2 linked regions of the Rattus norvegicus genome follow. The protein of the gene in region 2 binds, or shares a complex with, the protein of the main gene of each other region. Links are inferred from orthologs where the notes say so. Each region holds a gene or a part of one and is shown on either strand. Other genes may lie near its edges.

Region 1 (3,824 bases), on a different chromosome or scaffold from region 2:
AAGACGGTTTTCTTCAAAGATGTATTGTCCCGGTCCTGGCAGTGCCTCTGTGCTGCTGGGGGTCTTTAGAAAGCATTTAACTCTGGCCGAGGGGTAGGGCATGGGTCACCTCAACATTTGCCTGTCCCATGGAGGGGCAGATAGGCACCAAACTAGGCTAGAGAGAAGCTGGCCGAGTTCTAATTGATGGGAACAGAAAGAACTGACACTTAACCAGGATACAGAACAATTCAGAAAGCAATGATTCTCCTTTCTGAGCTTCAGATTTTCTATACTCCTCTATATAACTAGAGTATTTTCCAAAGAAAAAAAAAAGAATTTCTCCTGTGCAGCTTAGGTCAGTGTGTATGTTCATGTGTCTGTGTGATTTTGTATGTAGATGAGTGCACACATGTGGGCATGCACGCATTTGGAAGCCAGGAGTTCACACCCTGAGTCTTCCTCAATTAGTTTCCATTTTGTTTCTAGACATGTCTTGCTCACTGAACTGCAAGCTTGTAGACTTGGTAAGCCAGCCAGTCACCACATTCCAGTGACTCTTGTGTCTCTGACACAAATGCCAATGTAGAGGAGTTTATATATCATTCCACTCACGGAATAGGTGAACTCATAAAGACAGCTCAGATCAGTGGCTATCAGGGCCTGCAAGAAACTCCTTCTCGACAACACTATCTTCTTTTAAACCCAAAGGGAAGTTATGGTTGCACAACATACTGAATGCATGAAACATAAATTGTTCATATTAAGATAACTTGATGAACTCAATTAAAATCTTGAAAACTACAAAATAAAGCTTCCTTCTGCACCTAGCATGACACGACCCAGTTCTCTCTACTCTGTTGTCTTCACTCCTATCTCACTCTCAGGAAAGGGTTAACACAGTAAAGATAGTAAGAACACCATAACTAACACAGGTCCCAGAACATACTCTACATGTAAACCAAGAGGGAAGCCAATAAGCTTCCTCTTGCATTTCTGCCACAGAAGAAAGAAAATGGGGACACTAAACATTCCAAACAAGTCTAGGTCTTCTCTAATGCTTATTTCTGAATGCAGCAAAAAGATGGTTTTAATATACACTTATCTAAATCTTTCTCTGCTAATATATAAATTGCCATGATACATGATCACATGTGGTACATAATTAACATAATACATGTGATTTAAACATTGGCAAATCATACACAGTTCTCAAGTATGAATTGTGAAGAATGTCTCAGAATATGTTGAAACTTCCATTTCATCAGAAAGATTTAAAAACGGTAGTAATCCACATATTTGTGAACCTCCGTAGCCATGGAGAACTGACCGCATAGGCAGACATAGTCTGGGGGTTGTGCCTTTTTCAATGAAAACAATTTTTTTGGTAATTTCCACAAATATTACTAACAAAGCAGCATTTTCAAAAGGAAATGGTTGATCATTTCCATAATTAGGAAATCAAAGTTGTAGCAAGTTTACTGGAATAAACACTTTAAAATAAATGTGCTTTTAAAAATTATTGTTTGCATTTTTTACCTATTTATTGTGTGTTTGCACTTGCATGAGTCCAGGCAAGTGTTCGCATATGCCTTTGGAGGTAAAAGACAACTTTTTGGGTCTCTGGTGTCAAACTCAGGTCATTATGTTTGGGACAAGTTCTCTTATTTTTGAGTCACTGTAATGGCTCCTACGTATGTGTTTCCAACACAATTTGGAAGAAACCAGTCTGCGTCCACTCTATTTTTTAATCTACCTTTGGAACATACCAACACTCCTCAAAAAATGTCATCAAAAAATTATACTAACAAAATTTTAATGTCAACATGGCATACAAGGTATGCTTCAAAAACACATTAGAAACCAAATGTGTGCCCCAATTTCAGCTGCACTCATTAAGTTGCAAAGCAGCTAATAAAGCAGTTGCTGCTGGAAGAGGGGGGCGGTTAGTGCTGTTTAAGAGTGTTGACCACGCTTCAGCGGAAAGCCACACATCTAAGAACACTCCCGGAGAAGAAACTGGCTTTATGGACCGGGGTGCGGGGATGCGGGGGGGGGGGGGCTTGGGGGGTGCAGGGAGATGTACACAGTTGTGGGTTGGAAGGGAAGCAGGGTGTGTCAGGGGGAAGAATGGAGAAAACAATCAAGTGATCAAAAGATGTAGAAAATTCTCAAAGGGAAGAGAGAGAGAGAGAGAGAGAGAGAGAGAGAGAGGGAGAGGGAGAGGGAGAGGGAGAGGGAGAGGGAGAGGGAGAGGGAGAGGGAGAGGGAGAGGGCAGGAGCAGGAGAAGGAGAGGGGGAGAGAGAATGTAAAATTATTCTAATTAGCAATATCCAAGGGGGAAATTTTTTTAAATACAATTCTCTGTGATTTTGGGGCAATTTTACAAACACGGCTAAGTTGTGTACAGGAGTCCCATCACTCAGCTACACAAGCTACATATACAAGACCAACAATAAAAAGTCATTTCTAGAAACAGAATACCTACTTCCCCCACAAAAGACTCCCAGGTTAGGGTACATCGCTCCAGTCTGCATGCTCACCTCTTAGGCTAAAGACAGCAGTGATTATCTTTCTTTCTCTCTTACAGCCACACAGACGAGTGGAACATCTTCACATTGGAAAGGAGATGTGTCTTTAAACGCTTATGGATGTCAGAGCAGTTCACAAGCACCCACCCACCTTGAGAGATTACCTTGAGCAATCTAATGGCGGTCACCCAGCACATCCTGCTTTGGTCTTCTTCTGCACACAGCATTTTCAGGTCCCGGGGCCCTCCTGCTTTGGTAGGCTAGAAGGCCACAGCACATTATTAATTGTTAATGCATATCTTGAAGGCAACACCTGTTGAAATAAAAGCCACTAAAATTCTCCTATACATAAGAGAACTCTATCTCTTTTAAAGAAATCAAAAGAAACTCAAGCTTCCCTAAGAGGCTGAGGCCTTCCGTTACCCATCCGCAGAACATTAAGCCTGTACCTTAAAGCAGAATCCATAGGGAGTCGGCGCTCCATGCTTTTTTTTGCCTGCCAGTGACATGTAAACATTACTAGTGCTGAATTCACTGAAAAACTGCAAGTGCCGTGGTTCCTTTAAAAAATAATAATAATAATAATATGTGAATGACATTGACTTGGAGGCACAGTTCCACAATATCTTTTGTGTTTCTCATATTGCACAATTTATACCTCAGCCAAAAATAATGCGACCTCAAGCAAAATTCCACAGTAGTGTCACAAGAAAAGCCAAGAGTAAAGGGGATTACCATTTTCTTAAATAACCAAGAGCTGCATACAATTTCATTTAAATTGACAAGGGGCAGTTTATAATTCTGCTTCTCATAACAGACAAATTCCTACTTTAACTTTCCAGTTCTCATTAATGGTTGTGTCAAACTAAAAAAAAAGCAGAGGCCTGCAAGGGTTTTTTGAAAGCGTTTCTGTCATCTCAGTGTCGAGTGGTTGGTTCTTGAGAAGGAGATGGAAAAAAGAAGAAGAAAATCCTGCTTCTTTCAGATACACCCACCCCACACATGTGTGTGTGCTGACAGCAGACTGTGTGGCCATCTTGTTCCACAAAAGGAGAGGAGGCTGCTCGGAAGTGTTCAGGGAAATTACCTGGGATGGAATGCGTTTGATTGTCAGGGCAAAGGGAAATCACGAGCAGCTATTTCTTCTCTGGAAAACCTGAGAGAGTTGGAACTGGCCATAGGAAATCACTGGGTCATAGTACTACCTGATAGGTTAATAACTTGGAGAAGTGCTTAATTCTGAGGTTGACTATATAATCAAAACTGGCCAAAATGCGAAACCTTGCGACTAGCAGTGTGGGCACTGAACCACA
Region 2 (2,955 bases):
GAAGTGAGGTACACAAGCAGAGAAAAACCAGACAAACACAGGTGTTCTGGAAGGCCACCTCGGCCCCAGGTAACCACCAGTGTATCCAAGCAAGGAACATCCAGTCAGTGTTACTATCTGAACCAGTCAAAAATCCAGTTACCCACAAATCCACAAGAACTCACCGAGTCCTAAAAGGCTAGCAGCTAATGTGGTATAATTCCCAGAAAAAAACAAAACAAAACAAAACATGTGTTTCAAAGACCGAACACAGAGGCCACTCATGTATTGTCCCGTCTCCCCACACAGGCAGATGTGCCCACCACTTCCCCTGCTCCCAAGGAAATAATAACTTATTAGGCTCATCTCAAAGATCCCATAAGCTTTAAATATGTTACCAATATATTCTCAAACTTGTTGCCTTACTTCCTTCTACTGTGTGTGTGTCTGTGTGTGTGTGTATGTGTGTATCTGTCTGTGTGTGTGTCTGTGTGTGTGTGTCTGTGTGTGTATCTGTGTGTGTGTGTGTGTGTGTGTGTGTGTGTGTGTGCGCCCGTGCATGCATGTCCTTTGTTTGATCTTCCAAAGATCCTCCATGAATCCAGACCAAATAATCATCCCTCTGTTTTTGGAAATCATCACCAAAGGGAAGGGGAAGAAGACACCTGAGCGAGTTCTGACGTGACTGAGGAGAATCTCTCGAGGGCACAAGCTCTCGGTTCATAAGAAGGAAGAGGACAATATGAGGTCACCCACTCCAAGCAGCGGGTGCTTCATGAGCCAAGTCACCAAGCATCAGTCCAGAGAAAAATGTAACATACACACAGCCCCCACCCCACCCTGTGATCTCTAACCTGGACACAACACACACGCAAATGCACGCAGGTGTGCAGATGAGCACACACTTAGGAGTACACACCCTTTCCCAAAATAATAAAATATGAAAGCAGCAGCTATTGGTCAATTTGAGGAACTGATTTTGTGAATGAGGAAAAAAACAAAACAAAACTAAAATAAAATAAGCTCCTTCTCTCAGATTAATGAAACCTTCTCAAAGCCCAACCCCGCGAAAGCACGCAATTCCAGAACTGGGTTCTGTAGGTCAGGTTTGGTTTTTGTTTTGTTTTTCTGTCTGTTTCTTCTTTGCTTTCTGACTTGTGCTCCATAAATAAAGTCTGTCTTTGACAACTAACTATAACTCAGACACTAGCAGAAAAAAAAAACTGTAAAAACAGGTTCATCCTTCCAATCTATGAGGAAAACACCAGCAACAACAATAAAATCTTGGTTTGATACCGTGGGGGCAGGGAAGGGAGTATGGAAACCCCAACCCCTCTAGGTTCACAGTTAGCCCTCCACAGGCTCGCAGGGTTGGCGACCACACCTGTGTGTTTTCAGGTCCAAAGACAAACAGAAATGTGTACGAACTATCTGTGAGCTCAGTTTCACATCTGGGTAGAGTCCCGATAATCCTGAGTTTCCTGGAGGCAGTCAAACTACAGAAGAGTTTTTAAAAAGAAAGAAAGAAAAGAAAAGAATCCTTCCCCGAGCGAGCAGGCGCTGTTAGGAAGGGTTCGACCTCGGCAGGGTGAGGACCCGCCCATTCTTCTTGCCCCCGTTCATGTGGGTGTAGGGGATGTGTTCATCATAGGTCCGTTTGATGCTCAGAGAGGACCCTCCCTCCCGGCATCCAGCCTCTTCTCTCTGACAGTGAGAGGAACGATCCAAGGGGACATTCTCCATGTCCTCGAACTCCATCTCCAGCTCTTCACTCTCGGGAGCCTTGTTCTCCTCGCTGTAGAAGAAGGAAACTTCCGGAAAGCTGGGGTGGAGGTCGTCCTTGAGCAGGTTGACGATTTCCAGGAAGGTCGGCCTCATCTTGGGGTTGAACTGCCAGCACATGCGCATCAGGTCAGTGCTGTGGAGACAGGAACCAGGGCGGATACGTTTAAGTCAGGGGAGCCTTGGCCCTGGCTGTGGTTGTACGCAGAGCGGACAGTAAAGGCTGGATCAACAATTCTAGCGGGACTGAAAGCCGGTTTTGAAAAGCGAGCCAGCCAGACGGGGTGGTACATGCCTGTTATCTCAGCTACTCTGAAGGGTGAGGCGGGAGGACTGTGAATTCGAGGTTTGTCAGGTTAGAGAGACTTTCAGGCCAGTTTGGGCACCTTAGTGAGACCGGTGCCTTTAAGTACCAAGAGGGACAAAGCTCACTGGAGAAAGAAGGTCGGCAGAGGAGAGGAAGAAAAGAAGGGGAGATAGGAAATATTAGGGAAAGGAAGGAAGGGGAAGGGGAAAGGAAAGAGATGGGAAGGGGAATCACATAATGGAGCCCAAGAAGCTGTCAACTGGGAAAAGAGGCCCACTGAGGAAACGTTTAGATTAGGTTGGGCTATGAACATACCTCTGGGGGGTTTGTCTTGATTGTTAATTGATGTGGGAAGACCCAGTTCTGTGGATAACACCACACCCTGGGCAGGGGGTTCCTAACTTTGTGAGAGTGTCGAGAGCAAGCGAGCACCGTTCCACACACTTATCTCCCTCAGCTCTTGACAGAGGGCGTGATGTGACTAGCTGCTTGAGTTCCTACTTTGACTTGCCCATCAGTGATCCAACTAAATCCTTCCTCCCCTAAATTGGTTTCACTATGACAACAGGGAAAAGAAAGGACGGAAACTGTTCAGACACTGAACGTACATCACTTAGCACAATATGTGTCCCCCGTCTCTGACGCCTCGGTATTTGCTGTGATCATTCCTACCTGGGGCGACTTGCAGAGACCCAATGGTCATTCAAGGCTTAAAGACCCCTGGGGAGCCTTGGCAGGTTCAACTGTATGGGCTAAACACAGGGGGCGAGTTTCCAGCTCATTCCAAGGAAAATGCTCCACTCCAGGAGCAGTGGAGCCAAGTGGCATGGATTGAGACCTCTGAAATGGTGAACCACGGTTCAGTCTCTCCCCACTGAAGTAGAACT

The links.
Region 1: the proteins of Insr (region 2) and Grb14 are in contact, whole or in part, in a crystal structure (PDB 2AUH), measured with the Homo sapiens proteins. The link is inferred for Rattus norvegicus from reciprocal best matches to the Homo sapiens genes INSR and GRB14. Residues at the interface, in NP_000199.2 of Homo sapiens: Leu1065, Arg1066, Ile1069, Glu1070, Lys1112, Arg1116, Arg1163, Met1180, Arg1182, Tyr1190, Lys1192, Gly1193, Gly1194, Lys1195, Gly1196, Leu1197, Leu1198, Pro1199, Val1200, Trp1202, Ser1207, Leu1208, Lys1209, Asp1210, Gly1211, Gln1235, Asn1242, Glu1243, Leu1246; in NP_004481.2 of Homo sapiens: Glu373, Asn374, Ser375, Leu376, Val377, Ala378, Met379, Asp380, Phe381, Ser382, Ser386, Val388, Ile389, Glu394, Val398, Ala399, Glu401, Glu402, Gly403, Leu404, Trp406, Arg407.

The regions. Positions count from the first base shown.
Region 1 is NC_086021.1:69,990,609-69,994,432, forward strand, and holds part of Grb14 (growth factor receptor-bound protein 14), read right to left. Parts: intron 3,072-3,824; coding exon 2,961-3,071; intron 2,772-2,960; coding exon 2,676-2,771; intron 1-2,675. UniProt on the Homo sapiens protein: Adapter protein which modulates coupling of cell surface receptor kinases with specific signaling pathways. Binds to, and suppresses signals from, the activated insulin receptor (INSR). Potent inhibitor of insulin-stimulated MAPK3 phosphorylation.
Region 2 is NC_086030.1:5,994,396-5,997,350, forward strand, and holds the end of Insr (insulin receptor preproprotein), read right to left. Parts: intron 1,898-2,955; coding exon 1,543-1,897; 3' UTR 647-1,542; downstream 1-646. UniProt on the Homo sapiens protein: Receptor tyrosine kinase which mediates the pleiotropic actions of insulin.